Linked DNA regions of Danio rerio. The protein of the gene in region 3 purifies or fractionates together with the protein of the main gene of each other region. This does not show direct contact. Links are inferred from orthologs where the notes say so. Each region holds a gene or a part of one and is shown on either strand. Other genes may lie near its edges. The genes, in order: psmg1, psmg2, pomp and psma4.

Region 1 (4,311 bases), on a different chromosome or scaffold from region 3:
AATCTCTTAACTCTAATTCCTAATTTGTAATATATATATATATTTGGGTGTAGAAGTTATATTGTGGACGGGAAAAATACATTCTGTGATTGTCGGAATGATGTCTGACAGAGTGTTTCGGTTGTAGTCTGATACTCTTTGAATTATTACAGTCATTGTATCAGACAATTAGTGTGCCCATTTGAGCTCATCATATTGTATTCTTTTAATATTGTATTCTATTGTTGACCGAGAGATGAGGGGAGAGCGCGAACGCAGTCCCCCACTACCAGAAATTACGCAGTACAGATTCCTGCATTTGAGAAATTGTCAGAGGTCAAACTAGCCGATTTGTGCAATGGCTAATCCTCGCCCTGGGTGAACCACCTTTCTGATCATGGTATCGCCCCTGCCAGGTAAGTATGATTCCGTTATAGTACCGGAAGGGTCTTGACCGTCAGAAACATCCTTCTTGATGGCGGTGACTCTTCACTACGCCACACGTGAACCAATGCGATCAAACCGCACAATCCCGCTGTGTGTAGATGCAAAGATTACCCCTTCATCTATATATTTATTTATGTACTTATTTATGTATTTTTTAAAACAGAATAAGGACATTTTGCAGCGAACCACTTCCCATCATGCAACGGGACAGTCGAACAGCCAATGGAAAAGCACTACTTAAAACTAGCCTTTTTCAGAAATCAATAATCAGAATTTGTAAACTCAGGTTGAAGTAAAACTCTGGACAGTTTATCTTTTGTAGCTTCATATATTATAATCTAAAACAAACTAGCGAAAACATTCAATGAACACTATGACGTAGGCAACAAGAACGTGTCATGTACATCACTTCCGTGAAATCAAAACAAAGAGCGCCGACAGAGTTCAGATTTTAACTCCATGATCCTTAAATATATATTTTAACCATTAAAAAAGAACCATTTGTACGTTCAGTTGTATCCCCAATATGTTGTATGTATTTGTAATATAATCAGTATTTTATGATGGTATTTGTGGCCGTTCCGCACTTGTTTTCCTCAACAGAACGTGTGCAGTTACACATAATAAGATTTCGAAAAATCACGAAGCTTTGTGCACCATACAGCCATATAACACATACATGATCACATCAGTGCCTCTTTTAGTGGTTTCGACACAATAGAAGTTAATAAACATACAAATAAACACCTCAGCCTCTTTACATTCAGACACCTTCACTCCCGATCCAATACAGCCTGTTCAGGTGTATGAGACAGAGGAGCATGTGTTGAGGACGTCATGTAGTGCATTTATACAAGAGAGACAAGAAATGGTAACTCAACTGATAAGTTTAAGAAATGCAGAAATAAGTTTCAAAGGTCTATTAGAATGAGCAGAAGAACAGAAAGGAGGTGTTTGATGAATTTCCTGAGGGAAAACTGAAAGGAGTCCAGAAGGGGGCAGTAATGCAACAAACAGGATGCCAGCTGCCCTTAAAACCTAACGACGAAGAAGAAGAAGAAGCATCGCGTAGTGTTGCTCATTACACCCCGCCTGTGAGTTTTATTAATAAATTAGCTTGATTATCAGTGTAATATGGCGACATTCTTCGGCGAGGTGTTATCAGTGTATTCTCGAGCTGTGGAAGAGGATGAGTATGAAGACATGACGAATGAAAACGAGGAAGATGAGCAGATCCGCCGCGAAATAGAGGAGAAGAGGTGACATGCTCATCATATTTACTGATTATCTGATCAAACCTGTGACTGCAGTCAATATCAGCACTTTATAAGAGAAACGCAGGACGCTTTCACTTTCACTTCAGCAGCGCGGGTCTGTGACTCATCACGTGTCTCTCTTCATCATCATCTTCATCATCGCTGTGTTACAGTGATCCTCTATGGCGTTTAGCGATACTTAATGTCCTGTTTCTATCACAGCAACAGCACCACATCACACAGTTAGCCGTATTTACTGACCAAAACCACACTGTGGTAAATAAACACACTCTGCACTTCAACATGCTGGATTATTCTCATTTACTGACTCAACAACACTCAAGCTCAGCTCATTCAGACAGAGGTAAAGTTGGTTTGATATTGGGATATTCAGACATTCTGCTTAATCATTTATTTTCAGAAAAGTGTTCTTTGCTAAATCTAAATTGGGAGATCAGATTAGCAGTCAAAGACTAAAGTACAGCCATGTTTACAGTCAGTTATATAGTGTTGATGTTGTTTTGAACTCATACTTGTATGCTAATTCTGATTAAATATTCATATGAGTGTGGTAAACGATATAGAGACCGTTAAATTAATGAATGTGTGAATATAAAACCAACTTTACCTCAGTGTTACAGCTCTAGTGTTCAGTTTTGTTTATGTGTGTTTGTGTGTGTGTGTGTGTGTGTGTGTGTAGATTGAGTTAATATTCAGTGTTGTGTTGTATGTATTGTGTAGTGTGTGTGTGTAGGGTGTGTGTAGATATATTGTGTTACAGGTATTGTGTTGTGTTCCTCCAGGTCAGTGGAGGTGTGCTGGCTCTTGGGCTCTCAGGATGGGCCCCTGCAGTGTTCAGATCTGATCATTGGCGCGGGGCCGAACGCCAGCGGTGAGACCTCACTCCTGTACTCTAGACACCGCAGATGTGTGTGTGTGTGTGTGTGTGTGTGTGTGTGTGTGTGTGTGTGTGTGTGTGTGTGTGTCCTTGAAAATGTATTAATTTCAATGTTCTGTTTTCAGCGGTTAAAAAAGTGCTTGGAAATAGAATTGTGTAGTTGTGTAGTAATTACTCTCCTAGTAATTTATCTTTCTTATTAGTTACCTTTTGAAAATAAAGAAAATATTTTTGTTTTTGTATGAAGTTCAACATGTGATTTTATGTTTGGGGAGATTCACAGTGAGTCACTGAATGACTGAATGACTGTGTTAAATGAAAGATTCAGTGAAAGATGACATGGCGATTCCCACTGCAGGATTTGATCTTAATTTAATGTATGATAAATAAATATAATGTAGTACTGCGATATTCAACATTTGGAAAAATTAGATTAAGATAAAACATGACATGTAAGATGTGAATAGATGACATTTAGGAGAGTAAACGACAGTATATCAGTGCCGATAGACGACTGCAGGCAAACACACCATATACATGATTAAAATACTGCACTATACTATTGAACATTACATCAAACAACAGCAGAGCATGTGTTTGGACTGTGGGGGAAACCGTAGCACCCGGAGGAAACCCACGATAACACGGGGAGAACATGCAAACTCCACACAGAAACACACACTGACCCAGCCGAGACTCGAAGCAGTGACCTTCTTGCTGTGAGGCCACAGTGATAACCACTGAGCCACCGTGTCGCCATGAATAAAGATAATGTTTTGCTGTGTGTGTGCGCGTGTGTGTGTGTGTGGTCTGTGCAGGGTTTATTCGTGCGTATCTGCTGAGCACTGTAGGATGGACGGCCGTGGCGTGGCTCTCCTTCTGGAATGAGCGGAGCCGTGGGTCTGAGCGGCCGACTGTGGTCCCAGGGCCCGGAGAGCCCTCCTGTGTGCTGTACCGGCTGGAGAGCTGTCCCACTGTGAGGAGCGCACCATCACTATACACTACAGGAGAGCTATTCTGCCACTATATACAAGCTGTACACAGTGTGTGTGTGTGTGTGTGTGTGTGTGTGTGAGCTGGAAACAGCACACGGATGATGTTCTCCAGCTTTCTGAAACTGACCCTTTCAGGCTGTGATCCTCATTGTGGTGTTTTGATGACTGTCGCTTTAAATGTAATTGTGTGTGTGTGTGTGTGTGCGCGCAGGTGCTGATCTGCCAGTGCCAGGGTTTTGTGGCAGAGGATCAGCTCTTCCAGTTTACAGAGAAGGTGAGGCCTCATACAGAGCTGTGTGTGTGTGTGTGTGTGTGTGTGTGTGTGTGTGTGTGTGTGTCTGCGAGCCCTTCCTCATTGCTGTGTGTGTGTGTGTGTGTGTGTGTGTATGTGTGTGTGTCTGCGAGCCCTTCCCCATTGCTGTGTGTATGTGTGTGTGTATGTGTGTGTGTGTGTGTGTGTGTGTGTGTGTGTGTGTGTGTGTGCAGGTCTTCTCATGTGTTCAGACGAGGGATCTGAACGTCACCATTCTCTCAGACTGCTCCTCGGCTGATTATAAGACATCAGACTACCTGAGTGGGAGCAGCACACCATTCCTGCGCTGTCTGAAGACCAGCACATACACACACACCGTCACATGTCCACCGCTGGAGCAGCCCAACATCTGCAGCGGACTGGCAGCCGCAGGTACAACACCGCTATACTGCATTATTACACTACTGTACTGCTCACTTCACC
Region 2 (3,566 bases), on a different chromosome or scaffold from region 3:
TTTTAAATTCACTGAAATATTGTCTTGTAGGTCTTAAATAATTTGAAACGGATCTTAATCCTTCATTGTTTATTTAAAGCTACCCAATCGATCCAACACAATCACAAAGCTACCCAATCATCAACAATTCATCTCAATAAAACTTTTAGCAAAACTATATTCATAACTAATTGTAATAGTTAATTCATAACTATGTCTGTTGTGCATACATTTATTTTAAGTTTTTTTTTTTTTTTTAATATGTAGCTAACAAATAACTAATTACAATTAGTTTTTTGTTTTTGATAGGGCATGTACATGTTTTTTTCTGCTGGGCTATTAAAAAATCCTTAGTGTTTAAGACTATATACGTCTGAAATTTTATTCTTCATGGTCTTAAAAAGGTCTTAAAGTCTTAAATTTGACTTGGTGAAAGCTGCAGAAACCCAGTTTATGAAGTTCTTTCTTCTGTTGAACACAAAGGCAGATAATCTGAAGAACGCTGAAAAAAACGGCTATTGACATCCATAGTAGGAACAAACAATACTATGAAAGTCAATGGCTGTTTTTTTTTTTTTACCAGCATTCTTCAGTATATCTTTCTGTGTGTTCGACAGAAGAAAGAAACTCGAACTGGTTAGAGGGAACAAAAAAAGCACTTGCAGAATTTACATTTTTTGGTGAACTACCACTTCAATAGCAGCTGACATAAACCTGTTTTTGAGCAGCACTCCTCTGCGATACATGTTGAGCCCGTCTCTGGAGAAAGAGGAACGGCAGAGGTTCGAGGAGCTGGGCTGGAGGGAGATGGAGAAAATCAGTGTTTTCCCTGGTATCTCTGACTCTGAGCAACGTCTCTATATTCCTGGAGGAGGAGTAACAAAATGCCTTTACACTGACTGGTAAAATACCTCATATTTCTGTAAAATGTCTAATTAATAATAGTAAAATCAGTCAAAGAAGTGTTTTTTTTGTCTTGTAGTTGCACAGAGGACGTCCCTATGGCAGTAGTGCTTATCTTCTGCTCAGAAGGAGACAACATCCCTGACGCGTTTGCTCTCATCAATTGTCTCAATGACTGGCTCCATCTGCTGGAAAAACCTGTAAGTTTAGTTTTATATTTAAATCCTAATAATAGGACATGCGCCTGAAATGTTATCAATGCAACATCAAAATACATTTGGTGGTGCATAAAATTAATGTCGCGCGACCAGTGCGTGGAACTAGGCGGCATTCACTCATTAAGCATCTTTGCACCTAAAAACGCCAAACGCAGCGCTCAGGAATGGTTTAAAACAGTTGACATGTCAACTTGCAGTAAACAAACCCCACAATGATTGCCCCGCCTTCAAGCTCTTCTTATTGGCCCACTGCGATAGAACAGAACATGAATAGATTGGTTAATATCAGCTGTCAATCACTCAGTTCCAATGACAGGGCGCTACAGCCGCAAAAACGTAAAGGTCTGGATACGAGAGAATGAAAACAACATTGACAGATTTAGTTTTAGAAACCACCTAAAGTTACAAATAATGACACATCTGATTAGTGATCATGTAATAAATGTTAATCCAGCATTTACACATTTCCAAGAGTGGATAAAAGACTTCAAGTGGTTAAAGTCCGCTATGAAAATATCTAAAGCATACACCGTTAAGCCAATGGGACAGAGTTTACAGGTTACAATGTTTGCCACTGAATCTACACATTTTAAGCATGAGATGCTCTAACGTTATTTAGTCCATCATTTAATCATCACGTTGCTGTCAATCGTGCAACTGAGACTGCGTTCACTATCGCTAAAGAGCCTGCATTCGAAGATGAAACTAATATTGCAGCTCATGAAAAGACCATTACTGCTATTATGATGACGTATGCAATTAATAAGTATATATTTTATATGTCAATATCATCTGTGCAATATCAGACACCACCCGTGAGAACACAGCACAGTTATTATTGTTAACTAGTAATAGGGCCGTTGAATTAAAATCTGAGAAATCCTCTGGCTTTTTTCTTTTATTGCTGTATCGAAAACATACCGAACCGTGACACCACTGTATTGTATTGAACCGAGCCGTGATTTTTGTGAACCGTTACACCCCTTATATATATATATATATATATATATATATATATATATATATATATATATATATATATATATATATATATATATATATAGTGTGTGAACAAAAGTGTTTTTGAAGCTTCATATCATACTGAATGTTTTGACAAAGTTACTGAGTTTTTGGTCTTGGACCATTGGAGTCTATGGAGGATGAGAGAGCTCTCGATTTTGATCTAAAACATCTTAATTTGTGTTCTGAAGATGAACAAAGCTTTCAGGAACTTCACATGGATAAGTCATTAAAACAGTTTTCAGCTGTGCATGAACTAATCTTTAAATATTGTAGAGCTACTTTTTTCATGTATGTTTAAAAGAACAAATCATTATCACTTCTGTGGAAGCTGGTGCAAATTTGTCAGTGATAAAAGTTTCTATTGAAATATAAAACCATGTCCTATTAGAAATGTTTTGAATTTGTATTTCTTAACTTGATTTTTGAACATCTGAAACTTAAGACTAATTTTTAAGTCTGATTTTTATAGACATATTTTTACATTTTTATTTACTCTGAATTCAAAGACTGCAGACATTGGGTATTTAAAAATACAGTTTTAGGTTTTTAAGAATTCAAATGAACACAATACAAATTCAGATTGTTGTGGCACTGTTAGCTTCATGTGTATTTAGGAGACGTTCACCCAGAATGCATCTTTGCACCTGAAACCCCTATCCAATGACTGTAAAAAGAAATAATGACTGGTCATTAAAGTTTGGTACTACAGCCAAACAAAATCTGATTGTAAGCTCATTTTTTGAGATATCAGCTTTAGGTAGAAAGAGACCAAACTTAAAAACATGCTTCATCCAATAACTGAACTTTTTTATTTATTTTTTAATCATTTTTGGGTGAACTATCCCAATAAGTCTGTGCTCTATAGTTCTTAACCTTTTAAGTTGAAATATCATATTGTGCTTTTTAAAATAGCACAATGGATTTAAATGTGAAAAAGTACCTACAACATATATAAAGTAACTAACCGTGGTTATTAGGTGCTGAAAAAGCATACAAATGCACATTGAAAGTGCTTGAAAAGTGCTGGAATTTGAAGTTGAAAAAGGTTTAAGAACCCTGAATATGCAAAGGCCTTGGTTGCATCTGATATTACATTGTGTTTTTGTCAATTCAATAATAAAAATAAAAAAATCATTTTGAGCTTGTCCTCCTCTGACCTTTTAAAAGTGCTAATTGAAGCCCCAAATAATAAGTAATTAAATGTGAAAATGCCAGATGGAAATGGTAATGTTTCTCAACTGAACACTTATAATCAAATCAGTGTAAGCACATTTTAATACCAGGCAGTAACGGTCAGACCTCCTTTTTTATTTAATAAATCAGTGTCTCACTTAGGGATGTAACGGTATCAGAATTTCACGGTACGGTAATACCTCGGTATGAATGGCACGATACGGTATTTATTGAATCATTTACAGGAAAAACAAAAATAAGGAAAATACC
Region 3 (4,111 bases):
GTTACACTTTTGTTACACCATGCTCTAACAACTCCCAACAAAATGGACAGGTTTCTAATCTTATGAATGAATATTAAAAGTCATAAACATTATTAAAAGTACAAGCTGAGTAACTGATATTGCTGGTTTAACTAAGTTGTAACATTCATGTTTAAAATGTTTGCTTGTTTTTTTCTTCTCCATGATCTGAAGTAAACTATCTGCTGACTTTTTCAGTATAGCCATAGTAGTTTATGCTAGAGATGGGAAAAACAAAGCTTTTTGGATTTATGGTTGGGGTAGGTGTAATCAATATTACATTAATCAACATTACAAGTGATTCTCATTTCTAGCGAGTCGCGACAACCGCTCGTGAATGCATGTCGATTTAATGCATTTATCTATTAATTTGACCATAAAATGGTGTTTAAAAAATTAAAAACTGCTTTTATTCGAGTCAAAATAAAACAAATAAGACTTTCTCCAGAAGAAAAAACATTATCAGACATACTGTGAACATTTCCCTGCTCTGTTCATCATTTAGGAAGTATTTAAAAAAGGGAAAAAAAATCAAGTGGAGGCTAATAATTCTGACTTCAACAGTATATATAATGTATTTTTGCATATTGTTAAAAATATACCTGTACAACATAAATATTCTGTGCTCCAGGGTAACAAATTTTAAGTTTTAATTAAAAAATATACATTTTTATGTCATATGACCCACATGTATGCCCATTTAAAACCATTTATATGTACAAAAATGAGCTTGTTCTATGTAATTGCACACAGACAGACAAATTCTTCATTCCACTTACATTTTTCTCAGAGAGCTCCAATGGATGACTCGGTAGAAGCTCATTTTTGACACTAGAGAACCTATGAGCAAAGAAAAATGTCAAAAGAAAAATTGTAAAAGAGGCAGAAACAAACACAGCACAGGTTTCTGTAGGCAAAACTCACCCTCTGCGCAGAGAGTCTTGGACCCCATAAGGACCAGCCTGAGGACACAGACCTGTGACAGGAACACTGTCCTTCAGCTGAGAGCGCAGGCCACGAGTGTTCTGAGGAAAACACACACAGCAAGATAATTAAACACCGCTGATGTGAAAACAGACCCGAATGGGTTTTTGACAGTTACAACTCTACATGTTCATGTCTCTAAAAGATTATGTCTTTATTAACACACACATTATGCAAAAGATAATGAAAATAATTACATAACATACAACATTAAAAGCTTCTGTGAACAAGATGTGTTGCACATAAACACTGAGTTATATAAAACTAATTGTTTACAATTTTGCCTATTATTTTTTTATTCCATAGAAAACCATACTAATTAGATGTATTATTAATTGTCCTTCTAGGAGATAAAATCTTTATTTTTGTAGGAAAACTTACAAATTATAAATATGAGAATTTACAAGTATAAGAAAAGGAATAAGATTCATCATTTGAACATGACTGTCTTTATAGTATTGTGACACCAAAAATGCATATTTTCATAACACGACAAAACGATCATCAATAGCATTTACCATTTAAAAAAAAAAAAAAAACTCACAGACATCAACAAAACTATACGAATATGCAGAACAAAATCGAATGAAACACCAAAAGTGCACTTAAATCAATGTTAGACTTAAATGTTAGCAAATATTGTTTATATGGGGAAAAAACTGAAGTTAAGCCGGCTTTATATTTACACATTGCTTCATTTTAAAAACAGAGACAACCACACGACTTTGAATATTCAGTCTGAAACTGCATGGAAGTATGACTTCAAATAGAGGTAAAGTTGGTTTTATATTTGCACATTTGTTAATTTAGCAGTCTATATTGTTTACCATGTTACTTTGAATATTCGATAGGAATTAGTATGCAAGTATGACTACTAAACAACATTAACTCTATCTAATTCACTGTGAACAATGCTGTACTTTGATAATCATTTGCTGCTAATATAATTTCCCTATTAAGAAATGTTAAGCATTGCTTTTTTGAAATTATATTATTAAGGAGAAAGTCTGAATATCCGAATATAAAACCAACTTTACCTCTATTGACTTCAATACTGACTGTGAACAATAGTTCTTAGTCATTGGCAAAGAATATTTTCTGAAGTTGTATTATTAATAAGAAAAACAAACTACCTCAACAAAACATTTGTATAATAAAGGATTCTTCTCTTTAACGTATTTAAACAATGGTTAGATATATGCTAAATCTTAGGTAAAATGCAATACTGTCTGTAAAACTATTCCTGTCAGTGAAAAAATGACTACATAAAAATGTCTCGTTGATATCAGGTTATACTGGATTGCTCAAGTTCTGGAAAATGCAATTATTATCAATATATTAAGTTATAATATTTAATCAGGAAACAATTAATAATAGTTCTGGCCTGATCTGATGTCTTAATCTCCCAAAACCTTTTCCAAAAATCCCCCTAACTTACAGGTAACTTAAATACAAACTGAAAGTAAGTTAAGCGATGACTGGAGTTGAAGCAATGACGCATCACAATTCACTCAGATGCTAACAAAAAAGCCGACAAAATCAATACAAAGCAATAATATGTATCATAAATAAAATGCCAAAGCAAATAATAAGTGCTCATGACATTAATTGCAAACTGATAACTTAATCTGCTCTAGGAAATAAATAAACACGATCTGCCATGCTATGCTAGCAAGCTAACAACCGGCACAGCTGAAATAAGCGCTTTTCAATGCTATATGTACATAGTTTCATAGTATGCTGAAAACAACCTAAATAGCCATCTAAAAAAATGGCCCAATGTAAAAAAGGGAAATAAAATAAAATAAAAGTAAAAACTGAAGTTCAACATTACCATCTTTTATCTAGCTTGTCTTTCCGACTAGAGTTAATGTACTTCCGGTCAGTCCCCGGATATACTTTTGTTATCATGTGACGACGACGTATGAAATTATATTTGAGAGCGGTTTATACCATAAATAGATCTTTGTTAATATTGCCGATCATATATATAGGCCACTGACATAATCAATAAAGAAATACCAGAATGAACATTTCTTATTTGTCTACAATAACACTTCATGGAGCAGTGTGGTATGAGAAAGGGGGTATAGCTCAGTGGTAGAGCATTTGACTGCAGATCAAGAGGTCCCCGGTTCAAATCCGGGTGCCCCCTCAATACTCATTATTTTTCTGTCCTTTTAGTAATTATAATTTGCATGATAGATTTAGGCAAACTCAAATGAGACAGACAACTCTGCGAAGTAAGAGCGATGTCTTTCTCAAATATAATTGTAACAATATATAATAATCGCATCGACAAGTTCTTTATTATTATTTTTTGCAATCTATTTAAAGAGATAGTAACAGGAAACTGACTATTAAATCACACTTAAGTGGTTCCACAACTTGAATATGCATGAATATGCAGAGTTCAAGTTTAAGAAAATGTTTAAATATTTTGAGTTGTAACAAAAGCAAGAAGAACAAAGCTCTTGAAATATTTCATTTTGAGAAAAGTGAATACACAGCGGAATATAACAAGATTTTGAAGAAAAAAAGAAAAAGAAAACTTTCTCATATTCTAGCACTGAAAAATCATACTCAAGTAAAAGCACCATGGCTTACATAAAAATGTAGTGTGAGTAAAAGTATCTGTGGTAAATACTTTTCAAAGTATGAGTAAAAAATAGACCTTTTCAAAAGTACTCAAGAGTAGTCAGTAGTGAGTATTACACTGTTAAAAGCTGATGAATTTACATGGGCTGCGTCTGAAACCGCCTACTACTCAGTAGGTACTGCATTTGAATTTAAACGTACTACTCGGCCGTTAGAAAAGTACGTTCTATACAGTATGAATGTGAAAAGTTTGAATGGAATTCGGACGTACTACATCCGCCAATTTGTCATGGACACGTGACCTACCTGCGTCAGTTGTGTCGCCTCACTTCCATTCATGAATTCTCTCACGGGGCATTATGGGATAGCGCAGCGTGCATTGGGATGCGCACTTCAGAGTCTCGCCGGAAGTAGTAAGTCATCCGGGTACTTCTCGCATACTGATTTTCGAATTCTATGAAATCGGACATACTACACGGCTCGCATACTGATTTTAGCGTACTATATAGTA
Region 4 (4,358 bases), on a different chromosome or scaffold from region 3:
TCACCAATAGATTTGTATACTTAGGATGTCTACAAGTAGATATTCATATATCAATTCAATTCATCATAATTTCTGTAGCACTTTTACAATGTAGATTGTCAAAGCAGCTTAACATAGAAGTTCTGGTAAATTGAAACTGTGTCGGTCCAGTTGAAGATCAGTTTAGTTCAGTTCATTTATTTATTTTTTGACATAATCCCTTTATTAATCTGAGGTTGCCACAGCGGAATGAATCATCAACTGATCCAGCACATGTTTACGCAGCGGATGCCCTTCCAGCTGCAACCCATCACTGGGAAACACACATACACTATGGACAATTATAGCTTACCTAATTCACCTAATTAGATTACCTGATTCATGTATTTGGACTGTGGGGAAACTAGAGCACCTGGAGGAAACCCACGCGAACGCTAAGGGAACGTGCAAACTCCACACAGAAATGCCAAGTTCGGATCAGTGACCTTCTTGCTGTGAGGCGACAGCACTACCTGCTGTCACTGTGTCACCTAGTTCAGTGTGGTTTCATTTTCACTGCTGAAAGTCCAAACACTGAAGAGCAAATCCAACGATGCGCAGCTCCACAAGTCCTAAACCAAGCAAGCCAGTGGCGAGGAGCAAACTTCACCAATCAACGAAAGTGAAGGAAAAAAAAATCGAGAAAAATCAGGCTCAGTTGGGCAAAACCATTTCTTTCAGGAATCAGTCTCATGCTCTCTATTCCTCAATGGCCACCACAGCATCAGCTCAGGATACGGCCTGGTCCAGGATTATGGATACCTTGGCATCATCTCTTTACAGTTCTTGGATCATATCAATGGTGCTGCACAATCTCTAGAGCCCTCTGGATGAGGATCCCCAGGTGGAAAAAGAGAATAACACATCACAGAAATTAACTTCCTCTTATCAGAGCGTGATTTTCGAAAACGTACATCATGGGTCTTACACCTGATTCCTGGAGGGCCGCCGCTCTGTACAGTTTTGTTCCAACTCTAATTAAACTAATCAAGGTGTTTAAGGCTACTACACTATTAAGCAGGTGTGAGATGGAGATGGTGGAAGCTAAACTATGCAGAGCTGCAGCCCTCCAGGAATTGAGTTTGAGACCATTGAAGTACACAATTTTTAACCTTCATTTTCAAACATTTTTACACTTATTAGAATATTGCCGTTTCAATAAAAACGCTATAACGTTTAACAACAAATTGATATAAATAAAAGGCATTTTTAGGTAGTTTTAGAAGTCGTAGTCCCATGAAATTAAAATATTTCAATATCAAACATTGAATTACAAAAAAACACTTCATGGGACCTTTAATGTTAAAATATGTTTTGAAAAAATAAAATTAATGTTGCAACTGATATTCTATGTAGAAAACCAAATAAAAGAAATTTGAAATATAAATTAAATAAATGATAGTCAAGCCAATCTGCTAGCGCATCCGCTTACCCTCAAAAAACTGAGCCAATCAGATGGCTGAACGTAAGACACGTGACTCATCCTGGAAGTGAACCCAGAGTGGACGCGCTTCTCGCCGCAGTGAATTTCTTCAGCGGAGTCGGAGCCGCAACAGTGAACAGGCATTGCTATCCCAGGCTTTAGGTATGAAAATTGTAATATTCTACAATTTTTTACATTCTTCACATCATGTTTATGATAATCCCAAACATTTGATGCGTGTAAGAGACGCTGAGCCGGCGTAAGGTGAATTAAACGAAGGCTAATTTTAAATGATATGAAAAGTTGCTGCTTCATGCTGTTATGCAGCTGCTAATGCTAAAGCTAAACACATTCATACAGGAGAAACTGATAGAAGCGCTACAGTTCACCTTTATATTCCAGCACATTTAATATTAAAGTAGTTTTTATTGGTAATTTAATGTATTCGTTATGCTTCATTTGTGTTTGTGTGGAATTTTGCTATTTTCAGCTACTTTCTGTTTCATTTTGTTGCTCAATGAGTGTTTAAGCGCCTTAGATAGTGACAGCAGCACAACAAATATTTTTAACTGAAATAAACTGATATATTTATTAATTATAATGTGTTTTAACTATTAATGTTGAGCATATTTTTCTTGTTTTGCACTATGTTTTATGTATTCATATATGTATTGACAGCAACACAAATACATTACTGATTAATTAATTAATTTTGTAATCTGTTTGCAGGATTTATTTTATTTAGGGCACTATGGTAAGTAACAATTTATTTCTTAATTTTTAATGCGTTTTATTGATTAACAACATTCATAATCATAATTTTTGCTTTATTTTTACAGTCTCGGAGATATGATTCAAGAACGACCATCTTTTCCCCAGAGGGTGAGGGTCTTTATAGGCTGTTTGGTTAAATTATTGTGCGTTTTATTGTTCTGAATGTTGATTATTATTGTTTTAATTATGTTTTGCAGGGCGTCTGTATCAGGTAGAATATGCCATGGAGGCCATCGGGCACGCTGGCACCTGTCTGGGCATCTTGGCCAATGACGGTGTGCTGCTGGCTGCGGAGCGAAGGAACATCCACAAACTGCTGGACGAGGTTTTCTTCTCCGAGAAGATTTACAAACTCAACGAGTGAGTCTTGGGTTTTTTTTTTTTTTTCATATGAGATTTTGAGCATTTGTTTGACTTGAGTATCTTTTACATTGTTAAATGAACACAAATAACCTCCTAGCATTTGAATTTCTCAGTAATAGTTTTGTAAATGAAGATAAATTAATAAAATGTATTATTATTTCTTGTATTGGCGGAATAGCTTTGAAATTAAAGGTGTAGATTTATTTGTTTATTTATTTATTTATTTGTAGACTGATCTATTTATTATTATTATTATTATTTAATCCAAAGCCACTTGATTACAAATGTGGAAGGCACTGTGCAAATGATCATAAAGAGGCAATACACATAAGAAGTGCTACTAATACAAAGATTCTGACATGGTTAGGAAAATAAAAGCTTGGTTTTTTTGTGTGTTTGGGTATTTTTTTGTAAATCTTTTTGGCCTAGTTTTAGGATATAAGCTTGAAATTTATTTCAGTTTGTTTTTAAGTTATTTTAATATGTTTTTGATTAGTTTTAGCTTCTTTTTTTGTCATTTTGCAATATGCACTTGTCATTTTTATTTTTTTATTTTGGGTCTAGTATTTAAAATGTGCTTCAGTTTGTTACTTTTTTAAACTTTTTTTTTAACCTTTGAGGCTGAAATTTTATCTGTGTTAGTCAGTAGTTTTTTCTTATATTTATGCGTTTAAGTATTAGAAATTTTTACTACTTGTACTTTTCGATTTAATTCAAATAGTTATCAATTCTAATTTGACCTTGTTTTTCGTTCAATTTTGATTTATTTCTATTTCTGTGTATGGTCATTGTTAGGTTTTGGTAAAATGTAATGCTTTTTCAGTTAGCTATAAAAGCTTATTTTTAGTTTGCTTTAAAGTTTTCATCAAACATTTATGTCATTTCAGCTTTACTTTAAATGTTTTTAGTCATAAAGTAAGGCATAATGTACATGTAGCCCGTTGTTCTAGCAGAATAAAGCCTGACAGGTTTTTCAGCAGCTGTTGCATAAGACTGAATTGATTAATTCTGCGTAAAGACCTGTCTAGATGTGCATTATCCCACTTGTTTCATGACTTCTTGCCACAAAACTGAACTAAATTAGACATAAAACACTGATCTGAGTTGTAATAATTTACTAAGTCTTTAGTTAGACGTAAAGCATGTAGAAATAAAAACATCTGAATGCAGGCTGTGCTCATTATCCAGGCACAAGATGGCGACAAAAAAGCATGTAAAAAATTTAGGTTATAATGGCTATAGTTGTGTATAAGTCCTATATTTTATCTTTAATAGGAATAACAAAAAATCGATTAAAAGTTAAAAATAGCTTTCAATGTATAATCTCGTATATATTTCCCGCTGGTTTGTGTCTTATTTTTATTATATTTTTTTTACTTTTTTTTTCTTTGTTTAAAATGTGCATAATGTACCACCATTTCTGTATTTTTTCTGATGTTATAAGTTTCAATTCAAAGTTGCTGCAATCTTTATTGTTAACTGGTTTTTGAAATCAATAAAAAAACTGATTATAAGATAGAGGTGTGAACCTACACTGGTCTCACGGTTCAGTTACGATTAACATGCCATCGATTCAGTTAAATTCGATATCACGGTGCATTGACAATGCTTTCCATACACAGTTTTATATTTTCTTCACAGCACAGCAATTCTTGTATTAAAATGTATGAATATATTTATATTTACCATTTGTAATACAATTTTGTCCTTTAATACAAACAGTCAGATATATAAACTGTACCTTTAAAACAACACAAGCGTTTACAGCAAATAAACAAAT

Evidence for each region.
Region 1: the proteins of pomp (region 3) and psmg1 purify together in Homo sapiens (affinity purification with mass spectrometry; 4 studies listed by BioGRID and IntAct, with this or other methods). This does not show direct contact. The link is inferred for Danio rerio from reciprocal best matches to the Homo sapiens genes POMP and PSMG1.
Region 2: the proteins of pomp (region 3) and psmg2 purify together in Homo sapiens (co-immunoprecipitation; 6 studies listed by BioGRID and IntAct, counting the BioPlex papers as one, with this or other methods). This does not show direct contact. The link is inferred for Danio rerio from reciprocal best matches to the Homo sapiens genes POMP and PSMG2.
Region 4: the proteins of pomp (region 3) and psma4 fractionate together in Homo sapiens (co-fractionation; 4 studies listed by BioGRID and IntAct, with this or other methods). This does not show direct contact. The link is inferred for Danio rerio from reciprocal best matches to the Homo sapiens genes POMP and PSMA4.

What each region holds. Positions count from the first base shown.
Region 1 is NC_133185.1:517,348-521,658, reverse strand, and holds the start of psmg1 (proteasome assembly chaperone 1), read left to right. Parts: upstream 1-1,481; 5' UTR 1,482-1,560; coding exon 1,561-1,685; intron 1,686-2,485; coding exon 2,486-2,574; intron 2,575-3,398; coding exon 3,399-3,556; intron 3,557-3,786; coding exon 3,787-3,849; intron 3,850-4,061; coding exon 4,062-4,260; intron 4,261-4,311. UniProt on the Homo sapiens protein: Chaperone protein which promotes assembly of the 20S proteasome as part of a heterodimer with PSMG2.
Region 2 is NC_133194.1:13,460,109-13,463,674, forward strand, and holds part of psmg2 (proteasome assembly chaperone 2), read left to right. Parts: intron 1-707; coding exon 708-881; intron 882-961; coding exon 962-1,082; intron 1,083-3,566. UniProt on the Homo sapiens protein: Chaperone protein which promotes assembly of the 20S proteasome as part of a heterodimer with PSMG1.
Region 3 is NC_133196.1:43,980,952-43,985,062, forward strand, and holds the start of pomp (proteasome maturation protein), read right to left. Parts: upstream 2,867-4,111; 5' UTR 2,840-2,866; coding exon 2,837-2,839; intron 1,044-2,836; coding exon 943-1,043; intron 859-942; coding exon 798-858; intron 1-797. UniProt on the Homo sapiens protein: Molecular chaperone essential for the assembly of standard proteasomes and immunoproteasomes. Degraded after completion of proteasome maturation. Mediates the association of 20S preproteasome with the endoplasmic reticulum.
Region 4 is NC_133200.1:6,943,355-6,947,712, reverse strand, and holds the start of psma4 (proteasome subunit alpha type-4), read left to right. Parts: upstream 1-1,539; 5' UTR 1,540-1,603; intron 1,604-2,170; 5' UTR 2,171-2,192; coding exon 2,193-2,195; intron 2,196-2,280; coding exon 2,281-2,323; intron 2,324-2,412; coding exon 2,413-2,575; intron 2,576-4,358. UniProt on the Homo sapiens protein: Component of the 20S core proteasome complex involved in the proteolytic degradation of most intracellular proteins. This complex plays numerous essential roles within the cell by associating with different regulatory particles.